Linked DNA regions of Caenorhabditis elegans. The protein of the gene in region 1 interacts with the protein of each later gene in a pairwise test. Each region holds a gene or a part of one and is shown on either strand. Other genes may lie near its edges. The genes, in order: ksr-2 and mek-2.

Evidence for each region.
Region 2: the proteins of ksr-2 (region 1) and mek-2 interact in a two-hybrid assay, tested with the Caenorhabditis elegans proteins (one study listed by BioGRID).

Annotation. Positions count from the first base shown.
Region 1 is NC_003279.8:12,056,651-12,061,667, forward strand, and holds the start of ksr-2 (Kinase suppressor of Ras B), read right to left. Parts: upstream 3,149-5,017; 5' UTR 3,133-3,148; coding exon 3,107-3,132; intron 3,058-3,106; coding exon 2,986-3,057; intron 1-2,985. Other genes in the region: hrpr-1 (RRM domain-containing protein), read right to left, coding at 4,188-4,302, 4,849-5,017. UniProt on the Caenorhabditis elegans protein: Probable inactive protein kinase which positively regulates Ras-mediated signaling probably acting at the level of let-60/ras or/and lin-45/raf. In the germline, regulates meiotic progression during oogenesis and mpk-1 (isoform b) phosphorylation.
Region 2 is NC_003279.8:3,010,336-3,015,623, reverse strand, and holds the start of mek-2 (Dual specificity mitogen-activated protein kinase kinase mek-2), read left to right. Parts: upstream 1-2,175; 5' UTR 2,176-2,178; coding exon 2,179-2,265; intron 2,266-2,326; coding exon 2,327-2,506; intron 2,507-2,561; coding exon 2,562-2,780; intron 2,781-3,958; exon of another isoform or gene 3,959-4,016; coding exon of another isoform or gene 4,017-4,135; intron 4,136-4,195; coding exon of another isoform or gene 4,196-4,934; exon of another isoform or gene 4,935-4,940; intron 4,941-5,005; exon of another isoform or gene 5,006-5,131; intron 5,132-5,288. Other genes in the region: col-48 (Nematode cuticle collagen N-terminal domain-containing protein), read right to left, coding at 4,017-4,135, 4,196-4,934. UniProt on the Caenorhabditis elegans protein: Functions in the let-60 Ras signaling pathway; acts downstream of lin-45 raf kinase, but before the sur-1/mpk-1 gene product in controlling vulval cell differentiation. Required for progression of developing oocytes through the pachytene stage.

The DNA.
Region 1 (5,017 bases):
TGTGTCTCGGAATTTATTCAGGCCTAATTTTATGAGAAAAAATAAAGCGGGGCGCTTAAAAGTGCAGATTTGTCAAATTTTCGAGGAATTGAGCTCAAGTGGACAATTTGCCGAAATTAGGCAAATCGGCAAACCGGCAAGTTGCCGTAATTGAGAATTTCCGGCAAATCGAAAAACCGGCAAATTGCCGGAGTTGACAATTTCCGGCTAATTGGCAAACCGACGAACTGCCGTAACTGCAAATTTCCGGCAAATCGGCAATTCGCCGTAACTGAAAATTTCGGGCAAATCGGCAAACCGGAAAATTGCAGTAACTGAAAATTTCCGGCAAATCGGCAAATTGCCGTAATTGAAAATTTCCGGCAAACCGGCAAGATGCCGTAATTGAGAAATTCCGGCAAATCGGCAAACTGGAAAACTGCCGTAATTGTAAATTTCCGGCAAATCGGCAATTTGCCGTAATTAAAAATTTCCGGCAAATCGGCAATTTGCTTTCAGAAACCACCACAAAATCTTTACTGAAACTCATCCAATTGTCCCCATAATGCTAAATATGTACGTGCCCCCTGCTGTGAAATCTACCAGATTCGGAATACTAATGACGCTATTTTTGTGTGTTCCTCCCCAGCGGGACATCTATGACTGAAAATAATCGAAAAACTTCAAGTACTACAACACTTGATTCCCGGCGGTTTTCCGTATCCAAGAGCAACAAAACTGAGCTCCGAGAGGGTGAGCAGAGCAGGTGAAGAAGCCGAGCACAAATATTTATAAGAGAAACAAAATAAAAAATTCGACGAGTTGGTGGTGCCAGAGTGTCTCATTTCGGCTTGATCTACGTTGATCTACAAAAAATGCGGGAATTTAGAAGCAGACTTCTCAACTAATTTAGCATGGTTAAGAACGTGCTGACGTCACACTTTTTTGGGCAAAAAATTCCCGCATTTGTAGATCAAACCGTAATGGGACAACCTGGCACTTTCACACTGTGAAACCTCTGCCACGGCCATGTGTCGATTCACGCAGTTCTCTCGTGTACTCCTCGAGAAGTACACGAGCTGCGTAAATCGACATTGAAAGATTTCGGTGAGAAATCTGTTGGATTTTATTCATTTTCCATACAGTTTTATGCGAATTCCACAAATTTTTGGAAAGCTACTGTAGTTTTGGAATTAATGAAAAAAATCTCCAGCAAATCCATTTTCGCGTTGAAAATTGTCTATTTCAAACGAGATGCCGAAGATTCATGTCCCGTAAGGATTACGGTAGGTTTGCCAAAATCCGTACATGGTGTCAGGCTATCCCAATACAGCTTGATCTACAAAAATGCGGGAATTTTTTCGCAGAACAAATGTGACGTCAGCACACTCTTAACCATGCAAAAACAGTTGAGAGGTCTGCGTCTCACCTCCCGCATTTTTCGAAGATCAAAGCGAAATCGGGTGAATCCGTCAAACGGAGCGGCTCTGGACCGTCTCAATTTGCTGAGTGTGGCCGAATTTTCTCTTCGTCACGGCCACCAGAGGACTTTCAGGACAACTTCTAAGAGCTCTAAGCCAAGTTAAAACCTACTTTTCATATCTTCCCCGCCTTCGATTCACAATCGCGTACCACAATCGTCTCCAAAGGGTACTAATGAGCAAATAGCATGAGCAGCACATTTAAGCACATGCAATTTGATGTTCTTGAATGAAGCGAACCTATGCTTGTTGTGCTGTGTAGCTGACTGAGCCTTAGAGCACAAAAATGTGTGCGTGTGTCTGCTGCTCTCGTCGTTTTCAGCAAAAAAGGCGTGCTCAGCTAGCTAGGCTCAAAATGGGTGGGCTCCGGGAGCCTTCAACCATTTGATGAAATGAGCGAGGAAAAATTGAGACCCCGAGTGTAGATGTGAACGGCGAAGGAGGCAAAATTTAATCGAACACTCTATTTTTTCCTTTTTCTTTTTCGTCTTCCAAGGCGAACGGAGCCATTGAATATTCCAAAATGGCTCTAGGAGCTCATGTGAGCCAGCACAAAGTCGTAAATTAACCTCGAGAAGCTTGAAAATGGACATTTTCCAGAAAACTAGCGGGAAAGCAGAACTGTGATTGCATTTTCCAGAAAAGACAAATCTCGTGAGATTCTTTATTCTTGAAAATTAGAAAATTAAACCGATCTCACAGATTTCTATGCTTCCCTCATAAATTGAAATGGAAGAGTTTTGGCCGAACTAGGCCATGTTGGCTCGGTAGATTTACGGCGCGTTGCGGCTCGATTCTAGTTGTAAAACTAAATGTATTTGTCAGTGAGGAGTACACGACACTTTCCCACGCGTTGTCCGGCAGACAGGATTGTCAATGGAGCGCGAAAAATTCAATGAGGAAGGCCAGAACCCCGGCTGGCTGAAAACTACGGAACAACGAAATTCTCCAAAATATGAGAAAAAGCCAACTCGACGGCCGGAAAACCTCTGTGTAGATTTACGCAGCTTTTGTGTACTCCTCGAGGAAAACTCGCTCGAAAATCCATAAATCTTTTTGCCTGTTGTGCATATTATTTTCACGACTGAAAATCGTAATAAATTAAAATTAAATCGGCCGCTGAGCAGCAGTAAAAAACGTAAAACTCGTTGGGAAAAAAATGCGGAAAAGCCGGGGAAAAATTGGAGAGAAGAACTGATGAAGTGGAACGACGACAGCTATACGAGGAAAAGGCGATAATTGCTTTTTTTGGGGGGTTTTTCGGATGAAATTTGCGATTTTTAGAGCAAAAACCAAGTTTTGCAAGCTTTTCAGGTTAAAAATTGAGTTTTCTTCATTTTCGCAATTGTTTTATTCAAAAATCGCGGAATTTTCGAATTTTTTTTCGCGAAAAAAGCACATTTTCCACGGGAAATGTGCCAAAAAACGCGGCGAAAACGCGAAAATTGACAATTTTTTTGGGGAAAAGGCCATTTTCACATCGAAAACTCTCGAATTTTCAGCCAAAAAAAAAACTCTGCCTAACCTTCCACTCGTTGAAGATCTCCGCCACGATGAGAACGATGACGTCGTCAGCACGCTGTATCTGAAAAATCCGCTGAAAATCGGTGTTAAATTGCCTGAAAATGTGTGCCTGCTCGGCCTACCGCTTTTTCTTCTTTTCATCGCTCATCTGACGAAGGTTCTCCCTGCAAAAAAAGATATATTTAAAAATTAAATTTGAAAATCGTGAAATTTAGGTGTTGCGGGGGCGTGGCGACGTTTGCAAACTTGCGGCGCGGTTTTTTTTTGATTTTTCAGCGATTATTTTAGAAAAAATTCACTTTTTTCTGCATTTTTTTGTAAAAAAATTGAAGATTTTGAGTGAAAAAGGCATTTATTTTTTGGTTGAGGCTCGAAAATTTTACATTAATTTTTTTTTTCTGACAAAAACTGGATAAAAGTATTAATTTTTTGTAAAAATCCAAAAATATTTTATATTTTCCAAATCCTGAAAATCCCAAAAAAAACCACGCCGCAGGCTTGCAAACGACGCTCCGCCCTTTTTTCCCTGCCGCATTGCAAAATTCTCCGAGCTTTTTGTAGAAAACTGCGAAAAAAAAGATCTGAAACAGAGAAATCAAATTTGGGCAAACTTCCGAAAGAAAGAGTAAAAATTTTGAACGAAATTTTTTTTTATTTTATTTTAAAATTGTGTGTGCGTCCAATTTTCACAGCAAAAGGTGAAAATTTCGAGACACAGAAAAAAAAAACGGAATAAAACGGTTTCAAATGGAGAGAGAGGGAGAGGGTGAAGGGAATAGAGAAACAGAGAGAGAGAGAGATACGTTAAAAACCATTTTTTGCAAAGCTCAATATCAAAATCTCTATTACAATTAATGAGAAAATACAACTTTTCAGAATGGTTTTTGTCACTTTTTGAGGTCGTGAGAGATTAACGGGTTGGGTTGAGGAGAGAGAGGGAGTGGAAAAATTTTTTAAAAAATTCGAAAAAGAAATGAGGGTAATATGTATATAAATTATAGAATTTCGATTTTTCGCACCACTTTCTAAAGTCGAACGATTTTTGAGATCAAAACCATTCGAAAAACGAAACAAAAAAATTTAGAAAAATAATGCAAAATGCAAAATTTTTGGTTGAAAAAGTTTAAAATTTTTTAAAAAATGGGGGGAGTGAAAAATAATTTAAAAAACAAAGAAAAAGTGAGTTTCTGCCGGGGGTGCAATTTAGAAAGTGCTCATGTTGACGTCAGCCGAGAAATCAGGCTTTCCGTTGTCTCGTTTCGATGCTGGTCCCCCTCGTCCGTCTCCCGGGCGCTTTCCTCGACCGCGTCTGTTTGCCCTGTAACCTCAGACATTTATTAGGATTATTCTTGCACAATTTTATAAAGATATATGGAGAATTCTGCGCCAGTGGGGGGGGGGGGGGGGGGGGGGGAAATTGATTTGAAAAACACAAAAAATTAATTTTGAACTACCCTTGTTCAATAGAGCGCGCTTGTATTTTTTATTTATTTTAATGCATTTTTAGTTTATTTTTCTCATTTTCTACTGATTTTTTATATTTTCAGTGTATTTTTATTGGAAATTTGAAGAAACGTTTGCAAGATTAATGCAAATTTTTCACAATAAGGCAACTTTATGGTTACGTACCCATACAGATGCTCTCTAGTGAAAAATTTGCATTTTTCTTGAAATTTTCTTCAAATTTCCAGTGAAAATTTACAGAAAAATCATTGGAAAATGTGAGAAACGAATTTTTTAAAAATTACAAAAAATGCAAGCGCGCTCTATCGAACAAGGGCAGTTCAAAATTAATTTTTTTGTAATTTTTTAGACAAATTCCGTCCACTGGCGCAGCAGCACTCCACCACACTTCAAAACTTACATTCCACCGCGTCCAGGTGGTCCACCACGGAATCCTCCTCCACCGCCCATTCCTCCTCTCGGCGATCCACGCATTCCTCCTCTAAATCCACCGCCTCCGTAGGCTCCAAAATCTCCATAGGCTCCCGGGCCACCGTATCCACCACCGTAACCTCCTCCATATGCACCAT
Region 2 (5,288 bases), 9.0 Mb from region 1:
TTAATGTGAAATTTTATGTAAAAATATTAATTCCAAACAAAATCCAAAAGAAAAATGCAAGTTTAACCCCGAAAAAACAAAAATTGTCTGGAAAATTCGTGAAAATCGCAAACTTTCGTGTGGCAACGACACTCCGGAATGACGGAGGCGCGTGTTGTTTAGCGCGTCCCGTTTTTGCGCTTTTTCTCTCGTTTTCATCGAATTTGCAATGATTTTTTCAGTTTTTGGCCTTTTTTCGTGTTTTTTTCGGTGTTTTTCGTGAAATGCACGTCTTAAAACGTCTAATAAGCTTATATTTCCAAGAAATATCGATTTAAATCGGAAAAAAGACTACTGATGCGTCTTGGAATTGTTTGCTCTTTATCTCTTCTCATCTCTGTTTTTTCGACAAAAAAGCTGAAATAAATCGAATAAATCAGGCAGTATTGTTCTGAAATGAAAAATTTGCAGAAAAATGGTATTTTTCCATTTTTTTCATCAAAAGAAGCACCAATCGTGGAGAAAGTCCCTTCTTCTACGTAGAAATCCCCGTTTTCTATATAATTCCTCTCATCGAGACTTATATTATCCGATTAGCAGGTCAAAAATCCCCGTTTTTGGCACGGATCCACTGAAATCTCAATAAAAATCACATTTTCTCGAAGAAAAAAGCAACAAAAGAGCCGTCATCCCCCTCTCAAATTTCCTCTCCTCCTCAATTTCGATTAAATTTTTAATTATTTAGGCGCTTTTTCTGCTCTCTTTTTTCTTGCTCCAGCAGCGGCTCCCCGCATCTCTCATCGCCTTCTTCTCTTTTCTTCTCGCTTGACCGAGCTCTCGCAGTCCGGAAAAGCAGTCAATAAGCTAGAGAGCCGTGCTTTTTTTTCACCTGTTCTCAAAAATCGCCACTTCACGACAGGTTATATTCATCAATCAATTCATCACGTTTTTGCCTCGATTTCAGAGAAAACTAGTTGTTTCGGAAGAAATTAATCGCGAAATTTTTTTTATTTTCCCTTTTTTCAGACGGCTAAAATCACGTGGAAATTTATAATTGTATAGGTTTTCACTCAAATTGGCTCGAAATAGCTCGAAAAAATTCCAAAATGTGTATGGCGAATCAAAATTCGAAAAAAAAAAACCAAAATTTGCTAAAATCAGCGGCTAAAAATCCAGTTTTCATTGAATTATCTTCATTTTTTTAGAATTTTTGGCTTTTTGCCACCCAAAAATGGTCTCAAGCATTGAAAAAACACTGCGACAAGGAAAAGTTGACAAAATGTAGGATTTTAGCAATTTTTGCTTCAAAAACACGCCAAAAAACAGTTTTGGAATTTTTTAAAAATATGTAATTTTAGGTCATTCTGAGTATATTTAAGTGAAAACCCTCTTTAAAGGTGAAGTACCGAAATTCGAATCTTTGCTTTTTTAGACCCAAATTGGTCCAAAACTACCGAATTTCGTAATGAAACGTTTCGAAAATTTCTCAAAAAAAAGTTATGGCGGTTCAAAGTTCGGCAAATTAAGGCCCACAAAATTAAGGCCCAACGTCTGGAACCCAATTTTTATTTATTTATCACTTTTTAATAAATATTGCGGTCTTTTATTAGGCTTTTATTCGTTGTTTTAAGTACATTTATGGTCAGTGGGCACAAAATGTAACTTTTATTTGTGCCCCAAAGGCCAGAAATATGCTTAAAACAACGAATAAACGCCCAATCAAAGACCACAATATTTATTAAAAAGTGATGAATAAATAAAAATTAGGTTCCAGACGTTGCGACACCGAGAAGTTGGAAAAAATTTTGATTTTAGCTGAAAGTTGGCCTTATTTTGCCGAACTTTGGACCGTCATAACTTTTTTTTGAGAAATTTTCAGAATGTTTCATTACGAAATTCGGTAGTTTTGGACCAACTTGCGTCTAAAAAAACAAAGTCTCAAATTTCGGTACTCCACCTTTGATTTCTGAAAAAAAACTCTGCTTTCAGTTAAAATTACCAAAGAAACTAAATATTTTTAATATTTCCTGACTAATTTTTAGAAAATTAAATAGTTCTGAGTATTTTCTGAATTAGACTCCAAAAATCGCTAAATTTTCCCATTTTCCCCAGTTTTTCATAAGTTTTCTTGGAATTTTCCTCGTTTTTTTTCTAAAAAAAACCTCTCGATTAAAATAAAATCCAACTATTTTCCAGATAATGTCGAGCGGAAAACGGCGTAATCCGTTGGGACTCAGTCTACCACCGACAGTAAATGAACAAAGTGAAAGTGGCGAGGCGACGGCGGTAATAATTTAAAATTATTTTTAATTTTTAAATATTGAATTTAAAAAATATAAATTTCCAGGAAGAAGCCACCGCGACAGTCCCACTAGAAGAACAGCTGAAAAAGCTCGGGCTCACGGAGCCACAAACTCAACGGCTCAGCGAATTCTTGCAGGTCAAGGAGGGCATCAAGGAGTTGAGTGAGGATATGCTACAGACTGAAGGAGAACTTGGCCATGGAAATGGAGGAGTTGTTAATAAGGTTGGAATTTGCTGAAATAAGCTGGAATTTGGAAATAAAAAGTTCAATTTTTCAGTGTGTTCATCGAAAAACCGGTGTAATTATGGCTCGGAAGCTTGTACACCTCGAGATCAAGCCGTCAGTCCGACAACAGATCGTCAAAGAGCTCGCCGTACTTCACAAGTGCAATAGTCCATTCATTGTTGGATTCTACGGGGCTTTTGTGGACAATAACGATATATCAATTTGTATGGAGTATATGGATGGGCTTTCACTTGATATAGTTTTGAAAAAGGTAATAGTTTATTGGAAAATGTGCGGGTATGTTGGAAAATGATATGGTGGACAGTTCTCGCAGGATTCTCGGATTCGGCTTGTCCTTGTGATCCGCATTGTCGATCTGACCAAGCTTCTACTCGGAGTACCTGGCTCTGCCGATGGTCCGAATGATCCTTGTGATCCTGAAGCTCCGACCTTCTTCCCGGTACCTGGAATTCCGTCTTTCCAGAGGTTCCTGGCGGATCCTGTTCAGAAGATCGAACTCCGGCGTCTCAATTGCTTCCGTCTTGTCCTGGAGATCTGCTCTTTCCCGGATGTCCTGGTGGGCTTGCTGGAGCGTTTCCTTCTGGAAGAAGTTCTCCAGGCTCTCCTGTGGTCCAGAAGCTCACGGGCATTATGGCGGAATCGGGAGAGTTCAATCACGAAGCTCGTCCTGGTGATCCTGGATCACCTGATTCTCCGACTTTTCTATGGTTCCTGGCGGTCCCTGAGCTCGCTGGTGGGCAGTGCTCGCACAATCCTGGTATTCGGCTTGCCCTCCTCCTGGGAGAAGTGCTCCAGGCTCTGCCGATGGTCCGGATGATCCTTGTGATCCTGAAGCTCCGTCCTTCTTCCCAGCACCTGGAAGTCCGTCTTTCCAGAGGTTCCTGGCTGAACATATTCAGAAGATCGTCCAATAAAAAGCTCGTCATTCTGGATTTTTAAACGAAATCTTTGGCTCACCCTGCTCTCCAGCAACTCCGTACGTGGTGTCTGTCCGCTGTCCCATTACGGTTTGACCTACAAAAAATGCGGCAATTTTTTCCCCAAAAAATGTGACGTCAGCTGAAAATTCTTCGTCTCGACTCCCGCATTTTTTGTAGATCTCGGTAGATCAAACCAAAACGGGGCAGCCTGGCACCACGTGCTCCGACGTCTCAACTTCTTCCGTCTTGTCCTGGAGATCTGCCCTTTCCAGGATGCCGTGAGCCTCCTGTCCGTCTTGATGGCCTAGTTGGGTTTGCTGGAGTGTCTCCTTCTGGAAGAAGCACTCCAGGCTCTCCTGTGCTCCCCCAATACCTCCAACAGAAGCTCACGGTGCTCTCCTGGTTCTTGACCTAGTTCTCTTTCCAGAGGTTCCTGGCGATACCTGAGCTCACCGTGCTTCACAAGCCTCTTCACCCTTTTTTTTATTAAATGGACAACTACGACATATCGATTGAAAAAATAATATAGTTTATTCGAAAATGTACAGACAGACTCGCATAAGCTTCTAATATCCTGGAGCAAGACGTGCTGGTGGGCAGTGCTCGCACGATCCTGGAGATCCGGCGTCTCCTGGCGATCCTGGAGTTCCGGCTTGTCCTGGTGGTCCTGGTGGTCCGCGTTGTCCTGAAACAAATTTAACGTTTAGAAGAAGAAGAAGAAGCCTAGCTTATCATGATAATTTACCTGGCTCTCCAGCAACTCCGGCGTCTCCGTTGCTTCCGTCTTGTCCTGGAGATCCGGCCTTTCCTGGCTGTCCTGGTGCTCCTGGCCGTCCTGGTGGTCCGGATGGGCCTGGTGGAGCGTCTCCTCCTGGAAGAAGTGCTCCAGGCTCTCCTGGTGGTCCGCGTTGTCCAGGCTGTCCTGGTTGCCCAGGTGGTCCCGGTGGTCCGGATGGTCCTTGTGGTCCTGGAGCTCCATCCTCTCCGTTTCTTCCCGGGTTACCTGGAATTCCATCTTGTCCTGGTGGTCCTGGTGGTCCTCCAAGTCCTGGAGCAGCAGTGCATGGGCATTGTGGTGGAACCGGGAGAATTCGATCATGAAGCTCGGCATCAGGTCCTGGTGGTCCTGGCTCTCCTGGTCCTTGACCTGGTTCTCCGTCTTTTCCAGGAGTTCCTGGCTCTCCATCTGGTCCTGGTGGTCCCTGTTGGCATGTGCAGCATTGAGCATCAGCTTGACGTGTAGCTCTGAGCAGAACATCAAGTGGATCATCAGCACCTTCCGGTGCAACCTCGACCATCTCACGCCACATATCCCGAGATCGGGACTTGCAGTACTCAACCTCTCCTTGTACGGAAGCTTGAAGGGTCTGCACATAGTGGAATACCAATGGGAAAGCGATAAGCACAGCAGTCACTGCGACTGTGGAGAATGTGACGGCGACGAACGCCACACTTCGCAACGATCCCTTGCTCTTCTCGTCCATCTGAAATTCTATGAATTTTCTAGAATATTCGAACAAAGAATCAAAGGTGAAGAAGGGAAATGAAAAATGTCAGAAGTGTCAAAAGAATAAGAAGAAGAAGCCTACACAGTCATTTGCCGTTGCCCCCGAGTGCTTATATGCGGCCGCTGTGGTGGAACGAAACGGCAAGTCGCGCACTTCTGTGTGCGCTGCGTCTCATCGTTGCGCACGCAATTTCCGTGCGCCCCGCGCAGTGAACATCCCTTGCGTTTTTTTTTTCGATTTCCTCATCTTCTCCGCCCGTTGTTGTACATGACTGTTGATTATGATGACACATAAAGTATCAAGGTGTGGAAAAAGTAGGGGAAGGAATCG